Canis lupus familiaris: one gene and its partner. The protein of the gene in region 2 purifies or fractionates together with the protein of the main gene of each other region. This does not show direct contact. Links are inferred from orthologs where the notes say so. Each region holds a gene or a part of one and is shown on either strand. Other genes may lie near its edges.

The links. The genes of interacting proteins can lie anywhere in the genome.
Region 1: the proteins of SLC25A5 (region 2) and LRRK2 purify together in Homo sapiens (co-immunoprecipitation; 3 studies listed by IntAct, with this or other methods). This does not show direct contact. The link is inferred for Canis lupus familiaris from reciprocal best matches to the Homo sapiens genes SLC25A5 and LRRK2.

Annotation. Positions count from the first base shown.
Region 1 is NC_049248.1:33,248,743-33,254,400, reverse strand, and holds part of LRRK2 (leucine-rich repeat serine/threonine-protein kinase 2), read right to left. Parts: intron 4,672-5,658; coding exon 4,484-4,671; intron 3,439-4,483; coding exon 3,284-3,438; intron 1,700-3,283; coding exon 1,553-1,699; intron 1,408-1,552; coding exon 1,216-1,407; intron 1-1,215. UniProt on the Homo sapiens protein: Serine/threonine-protein kinase which phosphorylates a broad range of proteins involved in multiple processes such as neuronal plasticity, innate immunity, autophagy, and vesicle trafficking.
Region 2 is NC_049260.1:92,201,282-92,207,641, reverse strand, and holds SLC25A5 (ADP/ATP translocase 2), read right to left. Parts: upstream 4,087-6,360; 5' UTR 3,999-4,086; coding exon 3,888-3,998; intron 2,881-3,887; coding exon 2,394-2,880; intron 2,167-2,393; coding exon 2,026-2,166; intron 1,642-2,025; coding exon 1,484-1,641; 3' UTR 1,233-1,483; downstream 1-1,232.

The sequences.
Region 1 (5,658 bases), on a different chromosome or scaffold from region 2:
ACACCTATGCACTTGGAATGTTACAAATTCATTCCTAGGTTCACTCATTAGAAATTAGAATTCAGAACTTCCTTAGACTGACATCTGTCTAAGAAATCATCTACTCTCTACTTTTACCACATATGTGGGGGCACTTGTTACATGGTTAACAAATTGCTAAATTATTTTTATGTATCATCCTATTATATTTTTTATGCAAGTATAATTAACATACCGTGTTATATTAGGTTCATGTGTACAATATACTGATATACAATATACATTTCTCAGTACTCATCATGATAAATGTACTCTTAATCCCACTCACTGATTTCATGTGTCTTTCAACCTACCTCCCTTCTAGTAATCAATAGTTTGTTCTCTGTATTTAAGGGTCTGGGTTTTTTATGTCTTCCTTTTTCTGGTTGTTGTTTGTTTGTTCTGTGTTTTAAGTTCTAAAGAGTGAAATCATATGGCATTTGTCTTTGTCTGAGACTTACTGCACTTAGTGTTATACCCTCTAGGTCCATCCATGTTGTTGGAAATGGCAAGATAGCATTCTTTTTATGGCTGAGTAATATTCCAGTGTGTATGTATGTATATATTATATATATAGTGCATATATGTATGTATCTATGTATGTGTATCCCACGTGTGTATGTATGCACACATATATGTATACACACACACATATATATACACATACTACATCTTCTTTATACAGTCTCCTATCAATGGACACTTGGGTTGTTCAACAACACTAATCATCAGGGAAATGTAAATCAAAACCACAATGAGATATCGTCTTTCACCTGTCAGAATGACTACAATGGAAAACAAGAAATAACAAGTGTTGGCAGGGATTAAAATAAAAAGAACCCTCACATGCTGTTGGTGGGAATACAAATTGGTGCAGACACTGTGGGAAACAGTGTGGAGGTTCTTTGAAAAATTAAAAATAGAAATACCATGTGATTCTGCTTATTCCATGACTATTTGCCCAAACAAAAAGAAAGCACTAATTCAAAAAGACATATATGCACCCCCTATGTTTACTGCAGCATTATTTACAATAGCCAAATTCTGGAAGCATGTATCATCTATTTTAATCCTCATAACAATTCTATGAGGTAGGTTCTAGTATTCTTATTTCATAGTTGAGGTTATGTTGCCCAGTAGGCCATTGAACATTGAAAGGATCACTTAAAAAATTTGAAAGTTTTACATCAATACTACCTTCTTCTGCTTTCTTCATCAAGTCGTCAAGTAAGATTTTTTGATGCTCTTCACCATCATTAAAACTATATAATGCCCATTTCTTCAACAGAGTTTCTCCTTCACCACAAATATCAATCTCCAGCAATCCAGGAAACCATTCTTCCATCAGAGAATCAATGTGATCCACAACTTGGCCCAAAAGAATACAGCCTACATGATCCAAAGAAGAGCTCATCAACACCCTATCTGAACCTTATTCTGTTGCAAAGCTAGAAAGAGGGACTACAAAGTTTGAAAAAAAAATGTTTATATTTCTTTAGTGGTACAATTCAAAGTTTTGAATTAATTTCCTTACCTTTTCTACAAGAAGGAACTGTAATTTTTAAGAAACTCTCTGGGTGATTGTCTAAGACTTCAGATCCTACCAGACAATAAGCTTCAGGAGACCAATTCAAGTAGATGCCTTGTCGCCAATACATTCTGTTTGGGCGAAGTGCTCGTTCTGAAAGAAGTTTAAATGGACCCAAATGTATCCATTAATTATGAACTTCATAAATTAAAAGAGCAGAAAAATCACTGCAAATGCCACAAGTAAGTAATAGAGATACATATGTTTTGAAACAAAGTATTGGAATTGTTAATGACACAACTACTCATTCATATCTATTGTGCATGAAATTAAGTATTTTAACCTCAATTTTGCAAGGCAATAAAATAAAATGCCCAGTAGGTAACCTAAAAGATAGTTCAGATTCATGATGTTAAAATAGTTTGATATGCTTAATAGAATAAAAAGAATCATAAATAAGTAATCATAACTTCCATTTTTTTTCTAAGAGAGAGTGTGCATGAGTGAAAGGTGGGAAAGGGCAGAGGGAGAAGGAGAGAGAGAATCTTAAGCAGGTTCAATACTGGGCTGGGCTTGATCTCACAAACCTGAAATCATGACTTGAGCTGAAATAGAGCCAGTTGCTTAACCAATTGAACCACTGGCACCCCAAATTCTCATAACTTTTAAAACTCTTAAAAGGAGGTTGGTTGTCACACTAAAATAAAAACTTCTGGAATGATTTATTTTAATGTGATGTAACTACCTACATATTGATTAATTGCAAGCAAAATAAGGTTTATTTCAAAATACAGTAACACATGCATAAAGCTGATTTTTAACTCCCCCCCTGCCCCGCCCCCCAAAATGATATTTTTCCTTTGGAGCACTAGTTCTCCCTTTCTTCAAGAAGGAGGAGCTAGCAATATAAAGACCCATTTTTTCTAAAGATTTTATTTATTTATTCATGAGAGACAGAGAGAGAGAGAGGCAGAGACAGGCAGAGGGAGAAGCAGGCTCCATGCAGGGAGCCCGACGCGGGACTTGATCCCAGGTCTCCAGGATCAGGTCCTGGGCCGAAGGCGGCGCTAAACTGCTTAGCCACCAGGGCTGCCCTAAAGACCCATTTTTAATCAAAAAGATTATAAAAAATATAAAAAATATAAATATAAATATAAATAAATATAAATATAAATATAAATAAATATAAATATAAATATATATAATATATATAATATAAATATAAATATAAATATAAATCCCTCAGGAATTGCACAGCAAGAGAGCTTTTAAGTCTTTACAGTGAATGGTCTGAATGGTCAGAACCTGTTACTTTTGTTAACTAAGACTCTCTGGCTTTGCAGTGATAGTCACTTGTAATTTTTCTTTGTTCATTTGTGTGTGTCGGTTTACACGTGTGCATGTGTTTAACACCAGTGAATCCTAGTAATCTTACCTTCTAAAACTGTTGCTTCTAGTCTACTCTAGCTTGGAAAGCAAGATATTCATACTTATTATAAATGTGTCTAAAATAAAAACAAATACGCTTTGAGTGAGGACTTAAGAAATTTCCTTCTTGACAAACTGCATGAACTTAAATGAGCCTATGTGTCCTTATCCTGGCTACTCTGAAGTCCTATAAGCTTATTTTCTGATTTTCAGTGGCCTTACAAATACATGAACTCTGTGAAAATGACATGTCAATTTTAATATGCTTCCCCCCTAACTTCTCAAATATTGACTTCATTAAATACATACCTCTTCCTGAAAGCATGTAAGGTGAAATTTCAAGTAATCGATTGATTAACCTCGACCAAAATCCCATTGGAAAATAAGGCATTTCGTATAGTCGAATGATAATTTCAGAGTTCTCACAATGGGGAAGCTCTATCACAGGCCTGTGATCAGACAAACTAAAGAGAAAAGGGTATCAGCATTACATAGCTACATAAAAATTTACCCAACCATGTTAACCAGAGTGCTTTACTACTTAAAATCAATGAGTCGAAGATAAATATTGTAGGCAATTGCACGTTTTTATAATGTTCTTTTGCTACATGACCTTCCTTCTTCAAAAATTCAATGGCTATTTAGTCAATTCAAATACATGCTCAGATGCATTTTTTTTCAGTAATCCCATTTATACTAATAAATAAATTATTACAATTAGTTATGCATAGACAGGTTTTAAGGGATTATATAAAACTCGAAAAAATGTCATGTCCTAGAAAAAAGTGTACATGTATTTTTAGAATTGAATAGCATCTACCAATCAATGCAATTTGCACTTTTCAATGTCATATACCTTATAACATTTCCCAGCAATAAGAAACTATAAAGCAACAAGAAAAATTTCTATAATACAGAGCTAGAACTTAGGCCTTCATTGTGTTGCCACTCTCTGAAAATTCACTGCCATAAAGTCATCTGATGAGGGACGTCTGGATGGCTCAGTGTTGGGCATCTGCCTTTGGCTCAGGGTATGGTCCCAGAGTCCCAGGATTGAATCCCCTGAGGAGCTTGCTTCTCCCTCTGCCTATGTCTCCGCCTCTCTCTCTGTGTGTCTCTCATGAATGAATGAATGAATGAATGAATAAATAAATAAATAAATAAATAAATCCTTTAAAAAATAAATTCTGATGAAAACGCACTATCCTCCAGAACCTAATATAACTCCCTCAGTACCATTTAAAGACACACACACACACACACACATATCACTATTTTCCTTTCTTAAGTAATTCAAGTAGTGGTAAACCAAACAGTAATTACATACATAAAACAAATCATTTACTATACCTTTGAAGTGTCAAATGTAGTGTTTTCATTAAAAATAAATGTTACATTTCAGTAGAGAGTGTACACAAGAAGCAAAAAAATTAATACATTTATCATAAACCAAAGTTATTTTGACAATTAAAACATATAATAGATGGTGAATTTCCAGTTTAGGTTTACCTGCTTGGAACCAGCAAATATTCTTCTCCTATTGGCAAGGCAATCTGGAATTTTTCTAGCAGTTTAAAATACTGTGACATGTAGTTCTTTGGAAATCTCTTTTTCTTTGAAAGAAATTTTTCCACATCTCTACGTGAAATGATTCCCTTAGGATGTTTTGGATAGCCTTCCACTTTCACTGTCAAAATCTGAAAGATTTAAACTCGTAAATAATCACTAGAATTCATTCTCTGAAAAGTGTTTAATTTAAAGCATTTTGTGTCTCTTTGCTATTGATATGATCAAAACAATTTAATGTTGTCAAGTGTAACAGGGCACCTGATTTCTCTACTAGAAGCCCTGTAACCAGAAGCCCAGTAGGGCAACCATTCCTCCACAAAAAAAAAAAAAAATTAAGAGAGTGAATGCAAATCAAATATTATAGAGATCCTCTGCAATCAATGAATGTTAAACCTTCCCCAGCTCCAATTAACAAATCAATCCAACACCCTTCATCCTTATTATAGCCTCATCAACAATATATTTATTGGGAAATTATCCTCTAGACTATGTTCTCATTACAGGTTTGCCACAGGTTTGCCTTAGAAATGTTACTTGAGCATAAAGGAAAACGGTTTCCATCAATAGGAAGAGAGGCAGTATGTGGTACAGGTTAGTGATTCTTACACAAAGTAACTACAGAATTTCGCTGGACTCCAGATGGAGCCTGGATCAGTAGGTCTGAGATGAAGCTTGAGAATGTGCTTGTTTAACAAGAAACTCCGATGATTCTACTATAGAGACCATACTTTCAGCTTTGACCATCATCACAGAAGTTAAAAGTATTAACTTCAGAAGAACCCAGGTTCAAATCCATGTTCTAGTACTAGCTGCGTTATCTTGAGAAAGGTATATAATTTCCTTAAGCCACAGTTTCAATCAGATCAGATAATAAAAGTGACTCACCCTTAGACTGTCATGACATTGAAATAAGATAACATACAAAAGGCATGCAAAGTGCATATGACAATTTTTAGCTTATAGTAAGCCCTCATATGTTAGCTATTACTATCTACATATTCCTATTCATTTTACTTAGCCAAATGATTTTTTTAAGTTTGTGCTTAATTTCTTTACTCGATCTTTAGCATATAAGGGATACTTCAATAGGAGCATATATTATGTACATTATCATG
Region 2 (6,360 bases):
TATATTTCAGGTCTACAACTTGAAGTCTTGATATAAGTGTACATTGTGAAGTGTTCTTAACTAGAGCCATACTGAGATCCTGGTGCTTAGCCAGGGGGTGTGCAACGAGCACCTCCCTTAGGTTCCCTTGGTGTTGACTCCCCACCAGGCAGACCCTCCCTGCCCGTGAGCTGCACTTAAACATGCCAGAGTGGGTGCTGTTCCTCAGCAATGGGTTTCACCTGGACTCACGGATCACCCATCATTCTACTTCCAGGGTTACTTCTTGACAGCCATGGCTTTGTTCTTCAAACCTCAGGTTACAGGCGAAATCCACTGAATTTCTGGGGCCTCGCCAGGAGCTACAGAAACTGTAAACCACTTCTCATGTGGATCCCGGGTAAGGGCTTATCCAAAAGAAATAAATGTCCTCCACTGACCAGGCTTATTAGCATGTCTGACAAAACACAGCAGTGGCTACATTTCCTCTTCTTTATGGAATGAGTTTTGAGGTGGTGGCAGTTGTCTCGCTCCCTCTGTAATCTTGGCCAGCACTGCAAAACAGTGCCAGCTCTAATCCTCTACTTTGAATGGGATTAAAATGGAATGGGCCAGGTAAAAAATGAATGAGGGAAGGCAATTGGATGAAATGTTGCTATTATTACCTTATATTTTATTATTTTTTCCTCTTTAGATAAAATCCATACAACCATCATTTTAAAGTAAACAATTTAGTTTACATTTCCTGATTAATAATCACAGGACCTGGAAAGGTGGGTACATAGTCCTTTTTGGAGAAAGCTCAGTTATGATCCTCCACAGGCAATGGACTTGTGGTTTTGGATACACTGGGCCAGAATTTCCTTTTGCTATTTTTTGTAAGAAAATATTTATTAAAAAAATTTTATTTATTCAAGAGACAGAGAGAGAGAGAGGCAGAGACATAGGCAGAGGAAGAAGCAGGTTCCATGCAGGGAGCCTGATGTGGGACTCAATCTCAGGACCCCAGGATCACCACCTGAGCCAAAGGCAGATGCTCAACTACTGAGCCACCCAGGTGTCCCTCCTCTTGCTATTGTATTGGAATATTGATGGGTCACACAAGCAAGGTATTCTTTGAGAAGTGAAGGGCTAAGAGACTGGTTTGAAAAGAAAGCTCTCTACCTCAGGAGGTACTATAGCATTTATTAAACATGTAACATTTACTCAAATGTAGCACTCGCTTGAATATGTAAATTAAGTCAGAAACAAAATATACTTCAGATATTTTTTATTTCTTCAAATTTATTTATCAGGAGTGACTGAAATAAAAAATATAATTGAGTCCCATCATCATGGAAATGGCTTTAAGAGAAAACTGGTCAGATGAATATTATTGCTTCCCATTTTCAACCAGTAAATAGTTGCCATTGATAAACAGACAGCCAGCAGTCTGTCAAGAATGCTCAAGATATGTTATATAATACAACATGCCTGTTCACAGGGGGAAAAACTAGGAAATAACTTATGTGAACTTCTTGATTTCATCATACAATACAAGCACAAAAGCACCACCCATGCCTCTGAGAACATTGGACCATGCCCCCTTGAAAAAAGCTTTGCCTCCTTCATCACGGGCAATCTTCCTCCAGCAGTCGAGCGTGCCTGTGTACATGATGTCAGCTGCAAAGAATAAAGACACGGAGTTGGTGACCAAAGGCTGAGGAGAGTCCCAGGATTTACTAAACTGGAGCCCCGCCTCCAAGAATGAATGGTAGTTCTAGGAAACCCAACATTTTGCACATTTCATGTGGGCGATCCTGAAATATTAATGGAGTGAATAGAGAACAATGGGGCTATGTATGTAGACTACTTATTGGTTTTAACCTCTATTATCATTTAAGCACCCTCATTCATAGGCATCCAAAGGGCCCACAGAGGGGCGGACACAATCAACCCCATTCTGGCCATTAGAACAGACTGCATTTTTAAAGTCAGGCATCACTAGCTTGTGGCCACAGCCTGTCAAGGGCCGCATCTTTATCTTTTTGCTCAAGTGGAACTTACTTCCTTTGCGCCCTGACTGCATCATCATCCGGCGACGAACAGTGTCAAATGGGTAGGAAGTCAACCCAGCCACTGCTGTGACGGATTGTGCGATCATCCAGCTGATGAAAATGTGAGTATTCTTGGGATCTGGAAGCATTCCTGAGGACAGGAAAGAAGATGCTTTTACTAGAAAGCAGAGTTTCAGTGGCTTGTTGATTTCTACACCCCATCCCCATCCCCACATCTCATCTGTACACTAAGTTTGCACTAGGTGACCATGACTTCCTACAGCAATTACAGAAAATCTGTGACTCTGGAAAATGAGAATGGTATTAATGATCTTTTAGATGAAAGAAACACAGCTTCGAAGCACATGGCAAGCTTACCCTTTGCAGTGTCATAGATACCGAAGTAGGCAGCTCGGTAGATGATAATACCCTGCACAGATACGTTAAAGCCTTGGTACAGGCCCCTAATCCCATCAGACTTGTAGATCTTAACCAGGCAGTCACCGAGCCCTCTGAATTCTCTTTCAGCTCCAGCTTTGCCCACATCAGCTGCTAGACGGGTTCGGGCAAAATCGAGAGGATACACAAAACACAAGGATGTGGCCCCAGCGGCGCCACCTGACGCCAGGTTCCCTGCAAAGTAGCGCCAAAACTGGGTTCTCTTGTCCACACCACCCAGGAAAATCTGCTTGTATTTATCTTTGAAGGCGAAGTTGAGAGCCTGGGTGGGGAAGTATCTGATGACATTGGCCAGGTTACCACGCCAGAAGGACAGGACTCCCTGCTCCTTGGGAATACGAACCACGCAGTCTATAATGCCCTTGTATTGCTTATCTGCAGTGATTTGCTTGCTGGCGTGCTGCACCTGAGAGACAAGAAGGAGGCCAACAGGGAGATTTACAACCACGGAGAAGGGGAAAAAGGAAGAGTATTATCCTGTCTCGCTGACCGCGCTTTAAGGTTTGCTACTTCCCGAATCTAATCTTCTAGATCCTAACCCTCTGAGGCCATCACCGAGGAAGTGCTCAGCACCCTTAGAAGGCATTAAGCCTCCGCCCCTTCGGGTGGGGAGGGGGCACGCTGGGGCGGACCCGTGACCTTTAGACCTGGGAGAAAGGTCATTACCTCAGGACCAGGTTCAGAGGCACCTGGGCCTGTCCCACGTAGGGCGCGGCCACCGAGGTGACCGTGTCCTAGGCCTCGGGTCCCGGGAGCTGCTTCCCTCCGGCTCCGCCCCTGCTCTCTCCTAGAGGTGACCCGCGGGCCACCACCCCTGCGCCCGTGCGGGCGCGCCCTCTAGAGCCGGAGCGGGCGAGAGCGCGACGCAGGGAGGCGGGCGGCGGGGACGCGCCGGCGGCTGCGCGGGGGCGGACGCAGCAGGCACACGCGCTTCCCGGCGCCGGCTTCCGGCCCCGCGTGGGGAGAGCGCGGCCGCCGGCAGCGCGGCCCCTCGACCTGCCGCATGGCCTCCGCGAGCCCGTTATCCCCTTGCCGCGACCTTGAGGCCTTCCGCACGGCCGGGCGTCCCTCCCTCCAGCACCTGCTTCCAGGCTTCGCCCTTGCCCTCCGCGCCCCGGGAAGACGGCCACTGCCGGGCCGCCCCCTCCCAGCTCGCGGTCCCCGGGATGCCAAGGCCCTGGGCCCCCTCGCCTCCCTGCGCCCCGACCGCGTCGTAGCTCCAGAAGTTCGGGTCACTAAAGCGCCTCCCTCGACTTGGCCTTTCGGCCCGCCTCCTCCGCCACCCCTGCCCGCACCGGGCCGCTTGCCGCCCGTCAGGCCGAAGAGTTGGCCCCCCTCCAGCCCCGGAACAGAGGCTTTCCGCGCGCCCCCTCCCCCACTTCCTGGGTCGGACTCTCCAGTCCCGGGACGTACCTGCAGCAGCAGCTTGACCCGCTCGATGGGCGCGACCGCCGTCTTGGAGATGGCAGCGGCCACTCCACCCGCCAGGAAGTCCTTGGCGAAGGACACAGCGGCATCTGTCATATTGAAAGGAACGAGCCGGGCGCCTGCGGGACTGCGGTAGGAACCGGCTGGGACTCCGGGACTCTGGGGCGGAGCGACACAAATGGCCGATTTATATAGGGCGAGCCGGCGCCCGGGCGGCCGGCGTCGGGGGCGGGCCGGGGCGGGCCGGGGCGGGCGCCGAGCCCCAGCGCGCGGGCCGGCGGGTGGCTGAGTGGCTCGGCGCGCGGGGGGCGGAGCCGTGAGTCGGGCCGGGGCCGCCCTCCGCGCCCGCCGCCTGCCGTGGCACCTGACCTGGCCCCGGGACCGGCGGCCCCAGGGGATACCCGGGCCCGGCAGCTGGGCTCCGGGAGAGCCCTGTGAGTGGGGAGGGCGGGTGAGGTCCTGGCGTGCCCGCCTAGAGACCTCTGCAGTATTTAAGGGGACGCCGACAAAATCTCGGCAACTAACAGAAATAATATTTAATGCAGTGTCTCTAAAAAGGATGTGGGCAGACTACGCCTGTCGCCTGTTTCTGTTAATTAAGTTGAATTGGAGCCCCAGGGTTGGGAGTAGGGTGAGGCCGTAGAGGCAGGGTCCTGCCAGTGCAGGGTGCGATCCTGTATTTTAAATTTTGAGAATTTGCTCATCATGGAGTTTTGCCATACTTTTTGACTTTTTAAAAATGGTGCACTAAAAATGGTCTGCTTTGATGACTGAGTTGTTTGGCACCTCTTTGGTGCCCCTCATTCTTTTCACTCTAGACCTGGCACTGCTCTGGAGCTTCCCCGGTGAAGCCAGAGGAAATTGAGGGAACAGCAGAGTTGGGACACTGTCAGCGTGCCCCAGACTCTGGTTTGCAAAAACTAACGCAAATCTTACCCGAAATTGGCGGAGGAGAGTCCAGAGGACTCGGCTGGGGGTGGGAAAAGTATTTTAGCCATAAGCCAAATAAAGAGGTTGTACCAGGAAGGTTAAGAGGCTGTGTGAACCAGGTTGGCATTTAGCTCCTTGGACGCAAAGTAAAGTGCTCTTGGATTGAGTAGCTCCTGAACTCCAGAAGCTTTTAGAGGAATCAATAGAATTTGATTGACAGCCATTGTGTCAATGGACAAGTGCTTAGTGAGCCCCTTAATCCCTGCAGTGGGTAAGCATTTGCCAGACAAGTCCTTAAAAACCTACTTGCCAGCTTGAGTGCACTCTCTTGGGTTCAGAACAGTAGCTGGGAATGTAATCACATATCATATATCTAAGTAATCACAACAGTGTTTATGGAAAATGAGGATACTGTTGCAGACTGCAACTGCTGCGGATGGGGAAGTGCCCAGCACACTGAAGACACGCAGGCGTATTCCTCCCTTTCCTTTTCTGCCTTTTCCCACCTTCTCCGGATCTGCCCATGGAAAGGCCCAATTCTAGGGTTCCTCTAGGAACATCAGGTCCTTCATTTAATGATACTTTGCATTTTGTAAGTCTTCCCAGGAATCTGAAGTGGTGAGCACACGCTGAGAGAGTTGAAAGAAGAGCAGTCTTGAATCCAGCTTTGCTGATCCTGGGTGAAATCTTGACCTGTGATCATGAGAAGCGGCTCTGTTTCTCATTAGTTGATTAGAACGGTGATGCAGCTGGATACAGAAATGACCTTGCTGTAGAGTTTCGGTGATGAAGTATATTCTCTGAAAGTGATAGTGAGTCCTCTTACCTTTACTGGTGAGAGAATTAACAGCCGAAACAAAACTCTATGGAGCATTTTATTTAGAGGGAGGTGGTTTTTTGTTTAATTTTATTTATTTATTTATGATAGTCAGAGAGAGAGAGAGAGAGAGAGAGAGAGAGAGGCAGAGACACAGGCAGAGGGATAAGCAGGCTCCATGCACCAGGAGCCCGATGTGGGATTTGATCCTGGGTCTCCAGGATCGCGCCCCAGGCCAAAGGCAGGCACCAAACCACTGCGCCACCCAGGGATCCCAAGAGAGGTGGTTTTTATTTTTTTTTATTTTTTCTTTTTTTTAAATGTTTATTTATTTATGATAGTCACAGAGAGAGAAAGAGAGAGAGAGAGAGGCAGAGACACAGGCAGAGGGAGAAGCAGGCTCCATGCACCGGAAGCCCGATGTGGGATTCGATCCCGGGTCTCCAGGATCGCGCCCTGGGCCAAAGGCAGGCGCCAAACCCCTGCGCCACCCGGGGATCCCGAGAGGTGGTTTTTAGAATGCATTTCAAACTACAATTCAGGGATGCCTTGGTGGCTCAGTGATTGAGCTTCTACCTTCTTTCTGCTTAGGGTGTGATCCTGAGGTCCTGGGATCAAGTTCCATATGGAGCCTCCTTCTCCCTCTGCCTGTGTCTCTGCCTCTCTCTCTCTCTGTCACTCATGAATAAATAAATAAAATCTTAAAAAAAA